Schizosaccharomyces pombe: one gene and its partner. Changing the gene in region 1 together with any one later gene gives a genetic interaction. Each region holds a gene or a part of one and is shown on either strand. Other genes may lie near its edges.

Region 1 (11,984 bases):
TGGTAGCTTTTCCGTATTGGTTTCTGCAGTAATGTCTTTGAATTCTTTATAGATATCTGGTAACTCAGGTTCCTTGACAATATTTGAAACTTTGTTCATTTGAGAGAGCGTGTGTTTACTGCTAGATATTTCAATGTTATTGTCATATAATGTTGTGAAGGAGATAGCAGCTGGATGCGAAAATTTCTTTACAACCAAGAATTCTGTTTTGATTGATATTCCATTTAGACTTATGTTAAGTTTTATTGTTTTGCGATTAATCTTATTTGGATAAACTCCACCATATATCACACTTTTTGACCAGGGTCTGGTAGGCAGTTTATGTGCTCGAACAGTTTCTTCTGTTATAATATTTGCTTGAGCGCCCGTATCGATTAGACAGGGTATTGAGCACTTGAAGTCTGGAAGTTCAGCTTGTAATACCATTTCGTAACGTTTCCTAGTATGATTTAGGAATTTGTTAGATGAGTATTCTATTCTCGAAACATTTGTCTTCCTCAGGTTTCTGCTATTAGTGGTGTTATTTTTCTTTGAAAGGGACTCTTTTCCTAGATTTTTATTTTGCAGTTGAAAACGCTTGTGAGTTTTACCATACGAGGCTGTTCTTTTGTCCTCTAAAAAGTCATAAATTTCACTGATTTCTGATTTCCAGTAATTTCTTTCCTTTAATTTCCTTAAGGAATATGGCAGCATCCATAATATAAACAAGCGAGTATGGAAATCATCAACATTTGCTTTTGACATGAGTTTCCTTATAAATTGAACTTTGTCCAATTGATTTCTAAAACCTTCAAATGTTTTAGTTAAACGATCACCTTTGTTGGATCCTTGTACTTTCCCTGTTTGTCTGAGTAATTCTTGCCATGTAAGACTTCCATTCTCAGAAAACATGCGTTCAGCGAATTGTTGCTCTAATTCTTCTAGGTGATTCAATGTATACTGTCTTTTAGTATGCTCATTTGGGAATAATGAAGGGTATTCAGTAAAGTGTTGATCAAGTTTTGAAATGTAACTTTCAACATCCTTATTAGGATCGAATTTCCCTATCTCTGGTACATGCTTCGATAATATTTTTGCAAAAAGGTTTATTAAATGTTCGTCTGATGTTTGAATTCCATCCAAATTCTCTGGTCTCCATCGTTTTGCTCTTGCTTTCATATAACGATAATTTGCGTAGGACATTGTATATGTTTCCCTTTGGGAGATTTCAAAAGGGATAACAGTCCTTCCAAAGTTCTTTCTCCTTTGAACCCAGAAGGAGAGAAATATATATATTTATGATATATATTTATTCAATAATTCCTTTTTCCTAAAAGGAGTTAATTGTAGATCACAAGAGTTCAGTTATTGTAAGCTACGCAGTTTGGTATCTGATTTAAGGATACGTAGAACTGCGGTGAGTTTTCCTTGTGATCTATTATATTACAATACACAGGTTGTATAAGTAGCAACTGAGTATAGGTATTGTATTAACTGGGTTATAATGTTACCTATCACTAATATAGCTCATAACTGAACTGAGGAACGAGGTTCAGCAGTAGCTCTATTTATAGTATTCAGATAATATTGATCTTAATAGATTATCATTAAGATCAATCTCCATATCGTATCATACATGGTACGATATATAATTAGAACATGTGACATATAGTGATACTCAACGTAGTGTATTATAGCGTAGTGTAGTATTGCTGACAAATATTTCACATTAACGATATATGCTATATTTCGTTAAGCTATGGTCACCACCATAAATTGCCCGTTTTTCTTTTTTACCTCATAAGAAGTGTGAGTTGCAGTTTGATTGATGATACAATTTTTGCTAAGATGTCTCGTAAGTTTTAAACCTTTGAGAATGAAGAAGAAATTCTAAAAATTATTATCCCCCTCTCAGCAGGGAATAGCTGCGTTGAACTATCTCTTTTATACTTGCTTATTGATTTTTAGTATTCTTTTAGCCTTTTTCACATTCTGATATTCATTAAAATTAAAACTATATCTATAATTTGTAATTACTAATGTTACTAGGTGGAAATCAGCGTGATGTTGACCGTGCTCGCAATTTAAAGAAGTCTCAAGCTTCTAAAAAGAAACAAGCCGGAGATCCTACCAAACGTCTTGAAGCGTAAGTGGAATGGAATCAGGATTTTGTTTAAAAACCAATTAGCTAATATTTTAAGTCAAGCTGAAATTATGCGTGCTAAACAACGTGCAGCTGATGAGCGCAAGGCAGCGGAAGCCAACGGTGGCTCAAAAGGAAAAAAATAACTATATTCGAAATTTTGTTAAAGGGCAGTTTATTCCATCCTTTTAAGTGGTGTTTTTCCACAGTACATTGGCTCTTTATTCTGTTATTTTTCTTCAATTTTACCTCTATTTTGATAAAAACAATAAAATCTATATTTCTAAGTAAAGAGTAAATAAACTCGGTAGTCTTGCAATCTATAATAACATCCCATTAAGTTACTTAATCATTTACTCGTAATTTCTTAACTCTCGGTTATGCATATCATACGCCTTATGTCTCATCTTTGCCAATCAAATTATTTTATTACTAACTACCGCGCGCCTTGTATTAAAAATTAAAAAAATCAAATTCAAGATATACTAAATGCAAATATTCGATAGACTAATTATAAAAAAGGCAAAATCAATAACTTTGAAAATAGCCTAAGAGCAACTCATATAAATAATTTAAAGCTCAAATTAAAGAAAAGGAACATCAAACCTTCTCAACACTTTTCTAAGATCATATAGAAGTTAATCTCTTCTAAAGATATATGTTTAATCACACCCGATTATAAAGAAGAAAATAAAACGGCCTGTATTAATAAACATTTCAGTAACCCACATCACCAGAGATAAGCCAGCTCATCTCGCCAAATAAGTATCGGTAACATTCAAATATTAATTTTCTATACTTTCGATAAAAAAAGTAACAAATTGTTCATGACGACACTTACATAGCAAGAGCAGCAACCAAAAGAGATCCCAAAACTAAAGCACCAGCAGTGAAGCCGTTAGAAGCGGCTGAGCTTTCATGGGAGGAAGAGGAAGAGGAAGATGCAGAAGAATCAGAAGAGTATGAAGTGGTGGTAGCAGAACCAGTGGCAGATGTGGCAGATCCACTAGTAGCAGAGACAGTGGAAGACAAATCATAAGAACTAGTAGCAGAAATGGTAGCAACACTACCTTGGCAAGTGAAATCATCACCCTTAATAACACTGTCATCATTGGACCAAGGGCAAGTGAAATTGGTAGCCTTAGTCTCGACAGTGAGAGCACCCTTCACATCACTCAAATCAGGCATATCAATGCTTGAGAAGTTACCGAGAAGAACTAAACCACCACCAATTTCAGAGATGACGGGGAAACCATCAATAGAAGTCAAACCAGTATCGTTAATAACGAAACCACCACCAACAGTGGTAAGGTTAGGGAAGTTGAGGGAAGTAAGCTCAGGAGAGTACAAAACAGCAAAACTTTGTCCGATTTCGGTAAGGTAAGGAACCGAAATGTTATCCAGAGTAGTGTTAGAGAAATACAAGTTACCAGCAGCACTCTTCAAGTTACCAATAAAGACGTTGCTGATACCATCAAAAGTAGCAGTGGTAACGTTAGAAAGTTTACTGAAGTTTACGCTTACACCCTTAGAGTTAGCGGAAATCTGGATATTTTGAGCACTTTCGAGGCCCTCCATGGTGATCTCCTGAATATAACGATTGTTGGTTACTTGGAAAGTAGTGACGGAATCCAAACTGATACCGTCAATAGCTTGAAGTTGAGTGTCATCAATTACGACACTATCAGAATCGGAAAGACCAGCGTTAAATTGAAGCTCCTGTAAGTTTGGTAAAACAGCAAGATTTAGGCTTCCAACCGAAGTGAGCTCAGGGGTAGCAAGGTTGTTCATGCGGATCATGTTGTTAACGTTAAAAGCACCAGAAACGTTTTTCAAAGAAGGGAAGGAAAGAGAGGTCAAATATTGACCATCAGAAACCACAACATCACCTTGAACGGACTCAATTCCATTAACAGTAAGGGTGGTGATGCCAGAGTTACCAGCATCAGAAATGTACAAATCACCATTCAATACAGTACAGCTGTTAAGCTCGTCAAGAGTACCTTGGGCGGAGATATTGTAAGGGCCGCTGGAGCAGTTGGAAGCAGCTTGTACGCGAGCTGCGGCGAAAAGAAGAGTGAGAGCGAATGATTTGAACAACATATTGACTTTAGACTATATAATGTAGAAATATGATTGGAAAAATATAACGAAAGATAGTTTTTAGGATGCAAAAAGGGAATATGAAGGTAAATTTGTTAAATCAAAAGAGAAAGAGGACAAATATGTAAAATGCGTTTATAAGGGGAAACGTAGTAATAATCAAAAAGACAGAGATTGACCACAAAAGATATGCAGAATAGCGGGTATTTATAAAAGGTATATGCTATATATTACGGGTAATATATATGATATGTTTTATAAATGAATGCGTGGGTAATGAATAAAGAAGTAAAAGAGTGTTTAAAACTCAAATGTAGTTCGCTGAGGATGAAGCGAGTTGCGGAAAAGACATCTATATATACCCGGAAAATGCAAAGAATTGTGACTTGTTAGATAAAAAGGGGGACAACGAGGTGCGCAATTTCGTTGCAATGTTTACTGTAAACAATGAGTAATTGTGTATTGCTGGTTGCTAGGCCACAACACCAACGAGGAGCTTGCGACCAAACTTTGAAGACCGTTTATTGGCTAAACTTGTACGTTTACGAGTAATTTGACTCTCGTTAAACACATTGGCATGACAACAAGGCGTTCGACTCTTTACAGATTGAGAATTGTAAACACTCAATGTAAACAATGCTGTATTTTCTGTCAAAACTTCATTTGTATTCCAGCTTTGGTTTTAAGGTTATTCATCGCATAAACATTTAAAGGGAGAGACACAAACCGCAGTGTTTGACCCTTAAAAAGTCACATTCACGGGCTTTTAAACGTGACATCACTTGTTTGTTTTAGTGAAAAATAACAGTCACCAGATCTCTGAAGAGGTAGGATTTTTTTATACTAGAAAAAAGCAGAAAATCATAAATATTATTTGGTATAGAAAATGCTTCTTCCAGCTATGCTAATCTTGTTTATTTTTCGCTCATATGCAACGGTATTTACGTTTCCGTAAATGGTTTCAGACATTTGTTTACTGACAATTACCGTTACCGCAGCAACGATCTGTCCATCTGCAGTGTAAACAGATTTATTTAGTCATGTAAACAAAGTATTTACCGTGCTGTAGAGAAGTAGAGGCGCAGTGGATATGCTTAGCAAGTTGAAGGAGAAAAGATTGCAAAGGTCATACCGGTATTCAACTGATTGACTAGACTGAACTGTACTGTACTTCAGAAGCATTTACCTGTTACTTTTTAACTTCTTGTAGTTTCGATGATTATTTTGGCCTTTGTGTATTTCATCTTTGTGTGACATCCAGTTATTACTTTAAAACTTAAGTAATTTATATTTCCCATTTTTGATGCACTGAGTGAGAAAAAAACTACTTGATTATTCAAATTTGTTCAATATTTTAAGAAATAGCAAACAACAGTCTACAAAATTATTTTGGCAATACAGTTTAATCAGAAATAATGTTGAAAGGCATAAATGATTTTTAAGTTGATTTTATGTTTATTTTTTTTGTGAATAAGCTATATTATCTTCCACTGTCTAGGATGATTTGCTTCAGAAAATTATTTAATCATTGTTGAAGGTTGAACAATTCTAGACTACTGTGCATGATTTAGGAATAGAATATGAATGTGGATATTTTAAATATTGATCTAGAATAAATGCCCTAATTGGAGAATATGTATTGTATTTAGAAGCTAGTACTCCAAGGTAATAAAATGTATGCTGAAACATAAAATGTTTTTTTGCTATACATGTGCACTGTAAGCTAGACTGTTGAATGTATATGAATATTAAGTCAGTAGAATGCTTGCATCATTTATTACACAAAGTTGAAATGATTAACTCCAGAGATTTCGGGTACTTGTTAAAAAGCATCTTAAGGTGATTAGTTCCGTCATGGTTTTTATAAATTCCTTTACCTTCTATCTCGAAGTAATCTTATAGGAGCGATTACACATCAACTCATATTAAAAATTTAACTTTGATTACTGTAACTTGCCTATTTTTTACATTCGTAGTGTAATCATAATTACCGTCCAAATATTCAAGTAAAAAGCGGCGTTGTAGTCTGATGGAGATGCCCGTTATACAAATTGAGTAAAGCACTCATTTAAGACTGTTTTGCTATTTGGAACCTTTTTATTTTTTTTTTATTTTTTTTATTTGTTCTCTTGTGTGACGTGAGTTAGTAGTTAATCGCTGCGATTATAAAAGAAATTGATTTTTAATACACAAAGTATATCTTTAATTTATCTGAGCCGCGCTTTTTTTTATTTATTTAAAATTTCGTATCCTTGCATACAGGCTATATTTATTTACTTATTCAATTTTATTTTGTTTGCTCTTTTGGCATTTGACGGGGATATATATTTTAGAGAATTGAGTATTTTTACAAAAAAAAAAAAGACAAAATTAATGACAGAGCGATGTAAATAAGTAAAAGTACATTAGCATTTTTTCCTCAAATTCAAGATCCGTAGGCTATGATCTCTTCATGTTGCAAAATGTTTGTAGACAGGCTCCAAACTTTTAAAAAACTACTTATTCCAAAACATGCTTGCCTCAACGAAGTATCGCTACCGTTCTCTTTCGTTTTACTAACAAGTTCAATTTGTTTCTTGTTTTTGTATTAGTCGATTTTTAATATGCACAGGCTTGCATAAAGATAGTTAATTATAAATTTCATTTGTTTGATTTTAAGCTTAGCATTTCATTCAGCTCGACTTCAAGCTGACAATCCCCAATGCAAATATCCTTGCGTCTCGTTAGGCAGGTTACATTTCCAATAGTTTGAACGTAGCTTCCGCGTTATTATACTTTGCCAGTTTTAGTGCATTGTATAGCTACACAGTATTTTGGTTTTAAACTTAGCGAGATATCTCAAAACCCCTTGGCATGCTCTTAGCACGGTACTTAGCTGTAGATCCTTTTAAAATTTGCTAACAGATGTAAACTTGAAAACCAGATTTTTCGGCTTAATATATTCCATCTATCATTTAAATCTCTTTGATGATAACTTTCAAAAATTGAAGGAAATCCGATGTTGACGATGAAATCACTGTAGATACGAATGTTTACTCAACGAAATTACCATACAATTTGATGCCGATCATTTTAAAGACATTTTTAGCAAAATATAAGCAGTCAAACTAGTAGAAATTTTTACAAAAAAAAGCCATATACGAGGTTTGTTTAGTACAAATGACTATACGATCGCAATAATATAGTAATCAAATGAGCCACAGGAGGCAGCAGCTGTGTATAATCGGAAATTAAAATCCTAGTAAAGATACACCCGATCTATAGAAATGATATTCTTGTGTTCATTATTTTTCAAGTTTTGTAAACTATTATTAATTTTGCATACTAGCAAAGACCATTTACAACAAATAGTGCAACCTACTTTTGAAAACTTTTGTAATCAGAAGACGAATATGCTGGACTAAAATAAACATTAACTGCATCTTGTTCTACGATTGTTATATTGAGATGGTTTATTTATTAATTGTATGGATAAAGCTTTTTTCAATCAGTCTTGAATTTCAGAGTCAATACAAGTTAAAAATAAATCAATTTTGGAATTAACTTCCCTTGTATATTTCACTTCCAAGGTATTTATATTTGGATGAAATACAATAATAAAAAATAGCTCTATTACTTCAGAAAAATTCGCTGAATGTGTTCAATTTGATATGCTAGAGAAGGTACAATATTATAGATAAATAGGGCTATTTACTAATTTTGGTTGAAACGTTTGTAGGAAACCGTCTTCAGTACTTCGATATTATATACAAAACTTATTCAATAGATGTCTAACGAGCACACATAATACAAATAATATCTAAGAAACTTGTATTGTCATCATGTAACATAGAATTAAAAGTTTACACATTTAAACAAACTGAGTAATTTAATGTAGCTAAATAGATATAGTGCTAAACACTCATGAAACAGCAGATGAATAATCATCCTTCATTTTTTGAGTACGCATTTTGCGATTGAAAGATCCATGATCCATTATTTATTATATTAAATACTTGTGTTTTAGCAAAATTTATTACATTACTCCAAAAATTATCTTATGTTTGAGTATTGCTTAGCGAAGCTGCAATTTTCAACCCCCTTTATCACACCGCTTAAACATCTCATCTTAAAACGAAGTAGCGGCTTTGCTCTATTTTACTCATCACAATGGAAGATGAAATGCAAATAGACAAGAAGGAGGTGGAAATTGAACAAAAACCTCCTCGATTTGAAATTAAAAAGGTTCGTCATTATTTTTATGATCATGTTCTTCATGTGTATCAAATTTGCCATAAAGCAAAGTAAACTGTGAAAATTAATACCCAAAGATATATTTGCTATTTTAAAATAAGCATACACTTAAGTACTAGTTTACTCTCTTTGCTTTTTTTATGAGTTCTTCTGATTCATATTGCTTACCTTCAATTTAGTGGAATGCTGTAGCATTATGGCAATGGGACATTGTTGTAGATAACTGTGCTATCTGCAGAAATCATATTATGGACTTATGTATTGAGTGTCAAGCTAACACCGATTCTGCTGCTGCTCAAGAGTGCACAGTGGCATGGGGAACTTGTAATGTAAGTTTTAATTCGATTTCTTTCGTATTCTTAGCTCAGGACTGTTTTTAACAAATACAAAAGCATGCATTTCACTTTCACTGCATCTCAAGATGGTTAAACACTAGGAATGTTTGTCCTTTGGACAATCGTGAATGGGAGTTCCAACGTTATGGTAGGGTATATTAAGACGAGCCTACTTTACTAACTTTATCTCAGGTCATTAATAACATTTATTAAGTACTTACTTTTTTGTTGGTAAAAATATTTCAATGGAGCAGAGCGTTTTATTAATGAAATGACATGAATCAATTAAAATTTCCTAAAATCATGACTACTTGTGGCTAGTTTAAGTTTCCATGTGACTTTGAATTGTTATTTATATTTATTTACTCCAATTACTCAGATAGTGGACGAATATATCAATTTATTTTATTGCTTGTCAAATAAAATTTCCTACAGACAGTTTTTAACTACACATCATATAAATTAAGACATTATATCACTACTTTGTATACACTTGAAGAATTAGAACATTACTTAAATCATCAAAAGAAATGGCATACTTCTAAAGTGCTATTGTTAAAATTGAATAGGCATACAGACATTATGCTGCATATCGCATGACAGAATGCGAATCATTGCTTTCGAGAAGAATGTCAGTGGTGAGATACAAAAGCTCAGTAGTGCACGGATTTTCTATACTTGCCAATCAATTCACAAATTCAGTTAACTTTTAAATAAGAACAAACAGCTTTATGAAAATTACCATCTGATGTTTAAAACCTTCAGTTTATCAGACTTGGTGTTTTCGTTAATAGTGGGTAGGCATAAAAAGATTCGTGGTACTTTGACTCTTTATTCGCCTAATACTAATGTTTCTGTCGCCTTCGTCACTTCCCACTATAGAGAGACCTACATTCATCTGACTTTTTAAGTGATACTAAAAAGTCGGATACTTTTTATATAAAGACTGTAAAAAGCATCCCTATGTGATTGAATGTGTATATATCCATCTCTTTAAAGGTTTGATAGGGTAGGGTCATTTCAGCATGAAAGACGGTTATAAAATTATTGGGTTTATCTCATCTGGAACTTATGGAAAGGTTTATAAAGCGGTTTCATCTAATTCGAATGATAAACGACTGTTTGCAATTAAAAAGTTCAAAGCTGAGTCAAAGCAAGTAAGCTCGAATGCTCAACAAACCGGCGTTTCTCAAAGTGCTATTCGTGAAATGATGCTGTGTAGAGAAATTCAGCATGAAAATATAGTTAGCTTGGTTCAAGTTTTACTCAAAGATGGCACAATTAGCATGGTTTTTGAATACGCCGAACACGATCTGTTGCAAATTATTCATTTCCATAGCCGATCTAGAACAAGACAAATTCCACCATCAATTTTAAAAAGTATTCTATGGCAGATCATTAATGGTGTAGCATACCTACATGAAAACTGGATTATGCATCGAGATTTGAAACCAGCAAACATAATGATTACAGCTACAGGCAAGGTAAAAATTGGGGACCTAGGGCTGGGAAGGCTCATTCGGGATCCCATATTACCATTTTATTCCAGCGATCGTGTAGTAGTTACTATTTGGTATCGTGCGCCAGAGCTACTTTTGGGAGCTCACGATTATACCCCAGCAATAGATGTTTGGGCAATTGGTTGTATTTATGGAGAAATGCTTGCTCTTTCTCCTCTTTTCAAAGGAGATGAAATAAAAATGGAAGATAAAAAAGTCGTTCCTTTTCAGAGTACTCAAATGCTACGCATAATGGAGTTACTAGGCACACCAACAGAAGAACGCTGGCCAGGTCTCAAAAATTATCCAGAGTACTATCAATTATCATCATTTGAAGTTCGTTACTGGAATAATTTGCTTCCTCAGTGGTATCAAACCGTAAAAAATCGGGATCCGCAAGGGTTAGATCTACTGATGAAAATGCTACAATACGATCCAAAATCACGCATAACTGCTAAGCAAGCTTTGGAACACGTTTTTTTTACTTCCGATAAATTATGGACCACTAGGTACGTGTTCTTCCTTTTCCTATTTATCATCGAAAGAAATAAGCTTTTACTAACTCACTTTTTAGCCCATTTTTAAATCAACCTATTCATTATCCAGAAAGGAGAATTTCAGAAGATGATTCCGAGGTTTCCTCCAAACGCGTACTATCTACTTCACTAAGGTCCGAAAGTAAACGTTTTAAAGGAAATTGATTGTTAATGCTTCCCTTAAGCTATTTAAAAGATTATCTGTAATTTTCAATTAAATATTTCGCCTTTTCTTGGACGTATATTTGATATTCTGTCTACGCAGGGCACCGTCGTTTTATTTAAGAATACCTAAAAAACTCACGATTATTTATTCATATTTTTGACCATTGAGATACTAAAATTTTTTTTCAACTATTCTAATATATGGTTCAAACCATACATTTTTGCTAGTACATCCACGTTGTGACTCATTATTCTTATTGTTTTAGAGGGAAGATTCCAACAGCCATGTTGGGTAAGGAATGGGAAAACACTAGCTTTGCAGAAATTGGTCTACTACATCAAGCGCCTAACGATAATGACTTAGAAAAATTTCAACATGCTCTAACGTTAATGAGTGAGGCTGATAACTCTAGCGATGTACTAACTTATGATTTTTTACTGGATTTTCTCTAACTTGCCATAGCTTTTAATACCACTTATTAGTGACTTTTTAATATGGTTTTATTATCAGAAAACACCTTTAAAATGGATTCCTTTTCTAGGTCACTTTTTTAATACCTGGCAATCTTGTAGTTTTCCTCCCCGCAGATATTTGCTAGCTAAAATACTTTCAGGGAGAATTTCAGAGGTATGTGTAAAGAGAAAAAGAAAGCAGTTTATTTTTTTTTGTTTCGATACGTCAATTTTCGAACGAAACTTTTGTGATTGAATTTTTTTTTTGCCATAACAAATGCAAGTTGTTTGTTGGTACTAACTATGCATAGTTGCTGAAAGTTTCTCCTTTTGAGCTTGCCGCTTCTGTAACTAGCCAGGATGTAGTCGAAGCTGATTCCCTAGTTGAAGAGAATGAGTTACAGGCTTGGCTAGAAAAACAAGAACTTGTACCGTCTTCCTCTAATTTTCTAAATTCTTTTTGGATTTCAGGGGGAGAGAGAGAGCTAACGGAAGAGGAACAGGTAAGATTATCCTTTTTTTTTCAATTTTCGAGGAA
Region 2 (12,034 bases), on another chromosome or scaffold:
TATATTTACAAATGTGTACGCTATACAACCATTAAACGGTTCTCAATAATTATAATAAAGTGTTGTTAGAGAATAATGTCGAGTGCACAAGTTTCAAAAATTCACTCCTCTGATATACTAATAAAAAAGTCTAGCGCTGGTTAGCTGAAGAATCAAGTACCTTTTATGGAACGTAAAGAGCGACGTGTACTCGTTGTGAGCATACATTACTAATAGAATAGTTCGTTAATATATATTCAAACCAGAAAAACAATGTAAGTTATAGTACTACAGATAAACAGGCTTTTTAGTTTTTATTGACTCAACATACACAGATATACCTGTCTATTGTTGGCTTAAATCCAACTTCTTTAAAAGACTTATTGCAGCAGTAGGGAAAAAGAATTGTGTAACGCTTATATCATGCAGTATTCATTGTTTTATTATAAAGCTAAAAAAGAAAGAAAGATAGATCAATACACTTATGCGAATGCAAAAAAGTCATTTTATGAAAGACACAGTGTTTGAATTATATTGATTTACAAAGTAATGAGCAATTTGTCTTGCCAAGATGAACCAATTCGCGATATTACAGAACTCTATAGACTTTTTGAATGCCGAAATAGGAAGTTATACTGGATTAGATCAAAGAAGAATTATTAGCAGCCAACCCTTCAAAGCACCCGTCGTGGTCCAAGCTATAGATAGATTCAGTAAGACAAGCGAACGTAAATTCGTAAAGTAAAAGGATTACACATTTTTGTATACAAAGTAAACCGACTGTAAATATTCAATGTTTTGCAGTCAAACGCAACTTTATAGACAAACAGAATTCAAAGTCTTCCTTATACTGTAATTGCACATTGATATCCAATTATTCAACATTTCCAACATATCGGGCACAGATGATAAAAGACTTATCGAAATTGTCACCGTACAAAATACGAGTGCGACAAACATCCAGATGCCCCCAAAACAAAAAGATTTGTACAACCTCCAGACTTCATGCAAGCACACCATACTTTCCAAATGATAAAACAATAGTACGCTGCAAAACATTTACAGAAGAGAACCATGTCACATAAATGTTAAATTTTACCATCATCAGTACACCATTGGAGAAATACCATCATCGAAAAGAGTTTTAGAGATTTACAAACAATAAACACAACACACTGGCAAAGCAATGATGATCAAAGTTGAAAAAAAATTGAATATGAGACAAAATGAAATGCAAAAAAATATAAAAAAAAGTTGATACTAATGAAAACGACGACCAAAAATATCAAAAAAAAGATACGTCATGTCAAAATTGTGATGAATAAAAGTAAGTGGTGATTAGATGAATGAAATAAAGAAAAAAATTTGTAATTTAAAGATAGGGCTAAAGAGAGAGAAAAGCAAATTTATTTTAAACCCTACCAGCTATTCATCATACCTCTAGGATACCACAATTAAAGAAACAAGGCAATAGCAGAAACAACACCAACAGCAACCAATGCATTGATGCCAGTCTTCAAAGCAGGGGAAGCATCAGAAGAGGCGGAGCTAGAAACAGAAGCAGAGGCCGATGAAGCAGATGCAGAGAGAGCGGAGCTAGCAGAGCTGACAACGCTGGATACACTGGAAGTGGCAGAGCTGGCAGAGCTAGAGTCGTCAGTGCTAGCAGTCTTGGCGTTAGAAACAATAGCACCGCTACTAGAAGAACTGGCTGGAGTGGTAGAGGTAATAAAGCTAGAAGAAGAGAATTTGGAAGAAGACTTGGAAGAGCTAGGAGAAGCACTAGACTTGGAGCTAGAGCTGGAAGAAGAGCTGGACTTGGAGCTAGAGCTGGAAGAAGAGCTAGACTTGGAGCTGGAGCTGGAGGAAGAGCTAGACTTGGAGCTGGAGCTGGACTTGGAAGAAGAGCTAGAGGGAGAGGAGCTAGAGGAAGAGGAAGAAGAGGAGGGAGTAGAGGAGGAGGAAGTGATAAAGTAAGAGGAAGAAGTACGAGTACCAATCATAGAGGGAGCGATCGAGGTAGAAGAAATGGTACCACTGTAGCTAAGGCTAGAAGTGGAGATAGTACAAGTAGAGCAAGCTTGCAAAGTAAAGTATTGAGAATAAGTCTCACCACCGTCAAAGCTAAGACCAAGCAAGTAATCATCAGCAGCCTCGTAGTAAGTAGCAATGTTCCAGAGATAAGTACCGGTGTTGTCAATGTCAGAAGCAATGGTCTCAATAGGAGTAAGTGCAGAGTTACCACCGCGGTACAAAGTCAAAGTGACAGTGCTAGAAGTCAAATTGCTCCAAGAAACAGTGTTTACACCACCACCCTCTTGAAGGACGGCATTAGGTCCAGGGGCAGAGAATTCATTGTATGCCAAAGCGCCGGCGACGAGAGTAGATAAAATGAAAGACAACTTCATGATGGATAGATGATATTATGTAAGTATGTGAAAGTTGGAAAAAAAGACAGATAATATGGATGGATGGGATGTAGATAGATAGATGAATGCAATCAATGAGAAATTTTATTACCAAAGAAATGAAAGATAAATAAAGGTGTTAATGAAAAAATCTTCCGTTTTCGAACGAATGAAATTTTGCTAAAGGATCGAACGAAATTAGTGATCGGTGAATATATATAAAGACAGATAAAGGAGCTTCAAGTCCAACGACGGAAATTAAACTCACAAGTAAAAATATCAAAAATGAATACTCGTAGTTGGGTCTGAGTAGAAATTTGCTGCGGCATCCTTTCCTTTTATATTTGAAAAACCCCTCAAGTAACGAATGGTCATGTGACACGGATTTAGCGTCGTGAGTGGGTCAGGGAGGTGGCTTTCTTGCACCTGAGCCACCTCGCAACGTAAGTAACGAGTCCGCTAAGGTAACGATGAGAACGCGTTGTCAGGGTAACTAACTGGGAACCGGGTAAACCCGTATACACTCCATCACTTAATGTAAATAAAGATTCGCTCAGATGTAAACAAAGATTCATTCAAATGTAAACAAATCTCAGACATTATGGGAAAAGGAAGGGAAACAAGTGAGAGAAGACGATGGAATATTTTGGTGATGTATCACTCCATTCAATTTTAAAATTAGAGAAAGCAAGAAGAAATTGGTCATTTGTTTGCAAAAATCACGAAATTAAATTATGACAAAACAATCGCAACCATCCTGGCTAGCTCAGCGAACAACATAGTGAATTGGAGGGATAAGGTTTTAAGGTGTATAATGGTGTGTAACGTACTGTGCTATACACAGCCCGTTCTGTGGTATACCAGCAATTCTATTCTCTAACACATCACTTCAATTCCGGTTTACGTAACTGATCTTTTCCAGCAATATTCATTGCTGGACTAGAAACACCAATGAGCGTGGCGTTATCAAGCTACGGAACTCTACTTCTCTGTTGCTAAACTATCGACATGATATACTACCATTTACTAGAATACTAATAAATTCCTTTTGCTAATAACGAAGTATAAGACAGGATTGTAAGTAATATTAGAATTTTTACCGCATACTGCTAAACCAGTTTATATGTAAGCTACGCAGTTTGGTATCTGATTTAAGGATACGTAGAACTGCGGTGAGCTTTCCTTGTGATCTATTATATTACAATACACAGGTTGTATAAGTAGCAACTGAGTATAGGTATTGTATTAACTGGGTTATAATGTTACCTATCACTAATATAGCTCATAACTGAACTGAGGAACGAGGTTCAGCAGTAGCTCTATTTATAGTATTCAGATAATATTGATCTTAATAGATTATCATTAAGATCAATCTCCATATCGTATCATACATGGTACGATATATAATTAGAACATGTGACATATAGTGATACTCAACGTAGTGTATTATAGCGTAGTGTAGTATTGCTGACATTGCCCTCCCCAAGATTTTCTATGTAAATCTGAGGATAAGTCATATGTTCTCAGATATTTAGATTATTGTTTTTAATATAATCATTGACAATTGCTTTGTCCGCTTGTAGCGCTGTAGCTAATGTAGTCCATCCTGACATAATAGTACTCGGATTTAGATTCGAAATGTACTTGACATTTAAGTAGAGTACTTGTTCTCTGTTTTTATGTTCTAGGATATGAAGAATTGTTCCAATATCAGACTCATCAATGGTAGCGTAATTGAGTTCTGAATTATGTCGATACTTTTCTAGGTGAGAAACATGAAAAGTAGATGAAAACATGTGCTTGATTGAATCTGGAAGATCCAATTCATAGTTGTTTGGACCCGACTTCTGTAACACATAGAACGGTCCTGCAAAACTAGGTGCTAATTTATTGGATTTATGAAGAAAACCTGTTTTCGTTCTTTTGACCATAACTAGGTCTCCAGGTTGAAATTCTTCAATTTCTTGTATTTTCATATCGAAATACTTTTTCATCTTTATGTTGTTTGTATTCAAGTGTTCTTTAACTGTTTGAAATACTTGGATCGTTTCCTGAGAGTTTTCGTCAGTTTTGTCACTAAAGCTAGGTAACTCTAAAGGTGATAAAGCTGGTGAATAGCGATGTACTATCTCAAAAGGTGTCATTTGAGTTGCTGAATGTATCGCATTGTTGTAAGATTGTTGCACTAGGGATATATGATCTACCCATGTATTCGGATGTGTGCTACATACACATCTTAGTAATTTCTCCACAGTTTGGTTTGTACGCTCAGTTTGTCCATCAGTTTGTGGTCTGTATGGTAACGAAAATTTCATAACGAAATTATATTTATGTGCGAAATCTTTCCACGTTTGGGAAGTAAAAATATGATCATTATCTGCAATGATTTCTTTTGGATTGCCGAAATAAGCAATAACTCGTTGATCAAACATTCGAGCTGTTTGCTCTGCTGTAATGGATTTCGTACAAGGTACTAAGATTGCCATTTTTGAAAATCGGTCAACTACCACGAAAAGTGCATTATAACCAGATGATTCTGGTAAAGCTGTAATAAAATCCATTGATAAAGATTCCCAAGGTCTTTCTGATGGGGGAATTGGTTGTAAAGGTCCATAAGGTTTATGATTCCTAGATTTGTTTATTTGACATGTATGGCAGTTCTGTACATATTCTTGTATTTGTTTTCTTATTCCTTTCCACGTAAATCTACGTAATATAATGTTTGTAAGAAGTTCAATGCCTGGATGAATCAATTTACCTTCTTCATGATACTTTTTAATAATTGTCCTAGTCAGCTGAGTATCATTAGGTAATAAGATTTGGTCTTTACTGTTAATTAGTAAGCCATCTTTGAGTTGGATATTCTCTTCCACTCGTTTGTCTTCATTGTTTAGTAAATTCAACAATTTTGTATCATTCGTATATTCTGTAACCACTTGGTTTTTAAAATCATCGGTTATCGAGATTTGATTAACAAAGTTGATACTATTGTCTTCTGAATCTTTTGGAATTGGTTCTGTTTCGTCAACAATTCTGGATAAGGCATCAGCTATGTGATTTGCTGATCCAGGTCTGTAGTTAATTTCAAAGTTGAAGTCTTGTAAAAATAATTGCCAACGAGCTAAACGTTTGTTTTCAGGCTCGGATTCGTTAGTAATGCGACCAATTAAGTTTCGATGGTCTGTTAAAATTTTGAAAGGTTCGATAGTGGATTCTAAATAGTGTCTCCAATGTTTGAGAGACTTAATGATTGCAAGCATTTCTTTGTCCGATACGCTATAATTTAATTGTGCTTTAGACATCTTTGCTGAATAGTATCCAACAGGATAGTATTTATCATCATCATGTTTTTGAGACAATACGGCTCCTACAGCGACATCTGAAGCATCAGTTTCCAGTAGAATCTTTTTACTGAAATCAAAGTGTCGTAGCACCGGAGAGAAACTAAACATTGTTTAATGTTTTCTATCGCTTGGGTTTGTGTTGGTGTCCATTTCCAGCGTACATCCTTTTTCAAAAGATTATTGAGTGGATGTGTTAATTGTGATGTCTTTGGAATGAATTTCCTAAGATAATTGACAGAACCTAGAAATTGTCGTAATTCTTTACGATTCTTAGGTTGCTTCCATTGTAAGACTTTGTCTATATTTTCTTGACAAGGCGTAAATCCTTTTTCCGAAATGTGATACCCTATAAATTTTACTTGTGATTGGTGAAATTCACATTTTGCTTGATTGATAATTAAGTTCGCATTTTTCAATTTCTGTAGAACGTCTTTAACATGTTTTACATGTTCAGATTCCGATTTTGAATGAATTAAAATATCATCCATATAACATACTACATGTGATTCTTTGGCTTCACCAAGTATTGTATTGATAAAGTATTGAAAATGTGCTGGAGCTGTAGATATGCCATAAGGCATTACTAGATATTCAAAAACTCCACGAGGACAGCGAAAAGCAAGTTTATGTTCATCTCCTTTTCTTACTCGTATCAAGTGATAGGCACTTTTGAGGTCAAGTTTAGTAAAAATTGTAGAACCTTGTATTTTAGCAAGTAATTGTTCAATAAGTGGTAACGGATATATATTGGGTTTGACATACTTATTTAAAGGTTTGTAGTCAACCACCATTCTCAAGGTGCCTTCCTTTTTCGGAACGAACATTACTGGACAGGCGTTAATGGCTTTAGATTCTCGTATAATTCCACTTTTTAATCCTTGATTAATTTCATCATTCATAGCTTGCATTTTTCCCGGTGGTAGCGGGTAATTTCTGATAGGTAATCTGTAGTTTTCTTGAGTTAGTTCAACTTCAAATTCTAACCCTTTTATTGGCTTTGGTAGCTTTTCCGTATTGGTTTCTGCAGTAATGTCTTTGAATTCTTTATAGATATCTGGTAACTCAGGTTCCTTGACAATATTTGAAACTTTGTTCATTTGAGAGAGCGTGTGTTTACTGCTAGATATTTCAATGTTATTGTCATATAATGTTGTGAAGGAGATAGCAGCTGGATGCGAAAATTTCTTTACAACCAAGAATTCTGTTTTGATTGATATTCCATTTAGACTTATGTTAAGTTTTATTGTTTTGCGATTAATCTTATTTGGATAAACTCCACCATATATCACACTTTTTGACCAGGGTCTGGTAGGCAGTTTATGTGCTCGAACAGTTTCTTCTGTTATAATATTTGCTTGAGCGCCCGTATCGATTAGACAGGGTATTGAGCACTTGAAGTCTGGAAGTTCAGCTTGTAATACCATTTCGTAACGTTTCCTAGTATGATTTAGGAATTTGTTAGATGAGTATTCTATTCTCGAAACATTTGTCTTCCTCAGGTTTCTGCTATTAGTGGTGTTATTTTTCTTTGAAAGGGACTCTTTTCCTAGATTTTTATTTTGCAGTTGAAAACGCTTGTGAATTTTACCATACGAAGCTGTTCTTTTGTCCTCTAAAAAGTCATAAATTTCACTGATTTCTGATTTCCAGTAATTTCTTTCCTTTAATTTCCTTAAGGAATATGGCAGCATCCATAATATAAACAAGCGAGTATGGAAATCATCAACATTTGCTTTTGACATGAGTTTCCTTATAAATTGAACTTTGTCCAATTGATTTCTAAAACCTTCAAATGTTTTAGTTAAACGATCACCTTTGTTGGATCCTTGTACTTTCCCTGTTTGTCTGAGTAATTCTTGCCATGTAAGACTTCCATTCTCAGAAAACATGCGTTCAGCGAATTGTTGCTCTAATTCTTCTAGGTGATTCAATGTATACTGTCTTTTAGTATGCTCATTTGGGAATAATGAAGGGTATTCAGTAAAGTGTTGATCAAGTTTTGAAATGTAACTTTCAACATCCTTATTAGGATCGAATTTCCCTATCTCTGGTACATGCTTCGATAATATTTTTGCAAAAAGGTTTATTAAATGTTCGTCTGATGTTTGAATTCCATCCAAATTCTCTGGTCTCCATCGTTTTGCTCTTGCTTTCATATAACGATAATTTGCGTAGGACATTGTATATGTTTCCCTTTGGGAGATTTCAAAAGGGATAACAGTCCTTCCAAAGTTCTTTCTCCTTTGAACCCAGAAGGAGAGAAATATATATATTTATGATATATATTTATTCAATAATTCCTTTTTCCTAAAAGGAGTTAATTGTAGATCACAAGAGTTCAGTTATTGTAAGCTACGCAGTTTGGTATCTGATTTAAGGATACGTAGAACTGCGGTGAGCTTTCCTTGTGATCTATTATATTACAATACACAGGTTGTATAAGTAGCAACTGAGTATAGGTATTGTATTAACTGGGTTATAATGTTACCTATCACTAATATAGCTCATAACTGAACTGAGGAACGAGGTTCAGCAGTAGCTCTATTTATAGTATTCAGATAATATTGATCTTAATAGATTATCATTAAGATCAATCTCCATATCGTATCATACATGGTACGATATATAATTAGAACATGTGACATATAGTGATACTCAACGTAGTGTATTATAGCGTAGTGTAGTATTGCTGACATTATAGTCCTTCTATTCTCTTTGGTTTACTAATCCTTAAAGCGTATACAGATCGTATGGCTGTTATGGTAATATATACAACGAAAATGAACGTAGCAGCGTTGGCGAAAGCTACGCAAACTTGCCAAGCGCTTCGTTATAGGATCAAATAAATTGGTTTATGAATTTCAGAGGATGTGTTGAGTGTAAGGTAAAGAAAGCCTTAGACGGCTAAGAGTTACATAAGTTATTAAAGCAATTTTTTAGACTCATGTGATGATACAAACAGTAACCTTGGAATCTCTTACACAAGCTAGATTCAACCTCAATGTAAAAGTTAATTTTTGAGATTTGTTTAACTAATGCTAAATCGTTAAGAATAATCAGCGTTTTTTAAGGAATGTAATTGTTACTAAAGTTGTTTTTTAATTTCCTCGGTTTTTTCTTTCTTAATCCACTCATATCTCTAGATTTTATTTACTTTTTTACATTTATATATGGATATACATATATAAACAATCCGCTGATGTTTGCATTGCATTGCATGCTTACTCATATGAAAATGATTAATCACGTAGCTGTCGAGGTTTCGTTAAAAGCTCTAAACTATTTCTTACTTCTTTTCTGTTTTTTTTTTGATATTTTCCTTACTTTTATTGTTCTATTCAAAATAAAAAGGCAGATCAAAAAATAAAATATAAAGATATTATACAATAATTGGCTAATCTGTTGGATTGATGAAACAGCGAAAAGACGAGGATCGAGTGTAAATAAAAAAAAAAAAAAGAAAAAAGGAAGCTGTTAAGATCATAAAAATTCAGCATTGGATTAGGCGAAAACAATACAAAAACCCAGTGTAACAAGTTTCCTATAAAACAAAGTGCAATCTGCCTAATTCTTAATTTTTTTGAGAGTTTCACAGTTCGTTTGATTAAATACCTTTTTTTTTTGGTTTCAACATTTGTTATAAAACTCAATTGAGATAAAATTTCAATTTGAATTGACTGTGTCGCCTATTCAAGATTTGTATACCGTAATAAAACATAGATAATGAACAATCTATTATTGCAGCTCAAATTCTGAAATCATAATAGCGTATATAAAGTTAACAAAAATGAACAGCTAGTAACTTTAATTGCGCGTACCTGATTTAATGTACTGCGTATAAGAAGAAATTGAAGTTTGACTTGTCAATAATTGACTTTATATCAACCAGTCATGAATTGAGTAATGTAGCATCTGCAAGTTTTGTTAATATACTTCCATGAGATATTCTCCACCAGCGTCTGTATTGCCAGTTTAATCTATTTTTTTAACCATCTTTTTTTTCTTTTTATTTATTTAACAAATTATTTATAACACTGTTCAGCGAAAAATATTTTCGGTGGGTAAATATTTGAATGTCATAGTGTGAACTATTATCCTGAAAGGTGCTACAGCATATGAAGTACTACTAAATGCATTAAATCGAGGTAAAAATATTTACATATAAAGGAAAAATTGACATTGCTAATGTGGATAGACGCAAATACTTAAAGATGAAAATTCAAAGCTTTCAACATATGGAAATAGTATCACCTATAACGAGAAAGGATATAAATCTTTTATGAATTTCCTATAGGTACAAGGTTATCTGTTATTTCGCAATTAATCCAAAATTTAACATTGTGTTTCATTATTGATCTGAACTCGTTCATTCAAACACGGGTGGGATTCATTCTAAAGACCAGAAAATCTTACTCAAAAATGTAAAAATATGTAAAATTGAGGGTTCCAAATTTTGAAACTTTCTCCATCTTCAAAATATGTCTTCTATGCACACTGACATTGCTTTGCGTCAAGAAGTATGTCGTTCGTATGAAAAATGACAATTTGAAATTTATTCATCTGTTTTTTTTTAAGCGAGTTGCTTTTAATAGCCGTTATGAAGTCTCGACGGTTTTGATCATATTGCAATGACTTTTGATCAAAAGACCAGTCTGTTTAAATACATTGTGCTGGCTAATGCACTTGGCAAATAAACCCACAAAGACAGAATGAAAAGCTAATTAAGGTTAAAAAATTAAAATTACTGTTTTAAATATGCTAACCTTACAGAAAGAATCTTATTTACGTCTGTTTAAAAGTTGTTCTTCCTCTCACTACAACAGCTTGCTCTTTTTACGTATAATCAAAATCAATTATCTCTTAAACTTCAGTCGCAAATATAATATTATAGTACTCTTTTTCCTTTCGCTTCAACGCCAATGCGGTTGATTCATGTAGTATACACAGACTGACTCGCACATAACACGTTTCCATCCAACTCGATTGGAAAGAATTCTTTTTAGTAAAAACTTGAATTTGTAACTTTTCAATTGTAAAGCGTGATATTCGGACAAGTGCATACCCCTTATTTATACGCTTGGCTGACTGCCTCTAATGTAATGAATCTGTCAAACATACTTCCCACACTTGTTAGTACCACTTTTCCAATAAACACCGAGTTTTCTCTCTTAGGCTTGGTAAAGTGGTAATAAAGGCTTAATATTAAATATTAGTTTTATATAGCTAAGGAATAAACATCCAGCTCGGTTTCCCTGCTTAATATTACTAATATCCGTGTTTGTATCTGGCGTTTGGAGTCCGCCTGATTTCCACTATTTTTTACCTTTCGTATCGATTTCTTTCCTTCCTCTTTTTGAAAAGTTTCGAATTTTTTATGTCTGCTGTTCAAATAAGATAATAACTCCATCAGTGTAACATTGAATGTGATACAGTACGTTCTTTGTTTGAAAGAATAGTAAGGATTTTTTATTTGATCGATACGAAGTGTTAATACGAAACAAAGGGATCGTAAATTGTATATTTTCTTAATAATCCTTTTAAAAGTGTTTGGATTGGATAGTATCGCTCAATAGACGAGCCTATTCTTTGTTTTTAGATTACCCTTGTTTACGTGTGTCCTCGAAGTGGTTTTTTTACTTTCGGACAGGACTCATCTTGGTGCTGTACATATTTAAAATTGGTCCTTTCGTTTTTTTTTTCTTTCTTCATTCTCCTTTCTTATTTTCTCTTACGGAACTTAAGTTATCGCTTCATGGTTGTTATTGCTAACAAGGGTGCGCTTTGGGCTTACTATTGCAAAAGATTGTTAAATTCAGTTACATATATGATGTATCCATTAATTAGGAAACGCACCATGAAAAAGCTTTTATTAATCGTTGGTTTACTTCTTGCCTGTAGCACCGTAATGAGACGCATTCCCCTTTTCCATGAAAGTTTCCATTTGCCCTCACTAGATCCTCGTGCTTCAACCACTACGTCCCAGAAATTTCAAGAATACAGGAGCGATTTTTTAGAAAAACTAGAGACTGCCGAACCTCCAGAAGATGTTATCATGTTTACCGCTTATGGATTAGGTGTTCATACTCATAACCTTTTTATGCTTGCTTGTGATATGGCTAAAACATCCGACTCCCAAATTCGTTTCCTTTTGTTAACAGACGGAACAATTCTACCAGAAGCTCTGTACGATTATAATCGTGAAACTGTTTCGACATGTCCTTTGAGTTTTCTTTCCTATAGTACAGGTGTAGAACGTCTGTCGAAAGAATTAATTTTAAAGGACCTGCTTTCTTTGCAGTTTCA

The links.
Region 2: of ecm33 (region 1) and knh4, extra expression of one rescues a mutant of the other (dosage rescue), as found in Schizosaccharomyces pombe (one study listed by BioGRID).

What each region holds. Positions count from the first base shown.
Region 1 is NC_003424.3:1,567,036-1,579,019, forward strand, and holds ecm33 (extracellular leucine-rich repeat domain, receptor L domain-like Ecm33), read right to left. Parts: upstream 4,555-11,984; 5' UTR 4,226-4,554; coding exon 2,960-4,225; 3' UTR 2,578-2,959; downstream 1-2,577. Other genes in the region: Tf2-2 (retrotransposable element/transposon Tf2-type), read right to left, coding at 1-1,182; SPOM_SPAC1705.02 (uncharacterized protein), read left to right, coding at 1,828-1,834, 2,029-2,125, 2,181-2,268; SCF complex, Cul4-RING and CLRC ubiquitin ligase ligase E3 subunit Rbx1, read left to right, coding at 8,375-8,449, 8,638-8,787, 8,851-8,941, 8,986-8,993; mediator complex cyclin-dependent protein kinase subunit Srb10, read left to right, coding at 9,819-10,801, 10,867-10,993; protein Not11, read left to right, coding at 11,279-11,410, 11,457-11,621, 11,758-11,949.
Region 2 is NC_003423.3:1,961,267-1,973,300, reverse strand, and holds knh4 (protein knh4), read right to left. Parts: upstream 2,695-12,034; 5' UTR 2,388-2,694; coding exon 1,434-2,387; 3' UTR 502-1,433; downstream 1-501.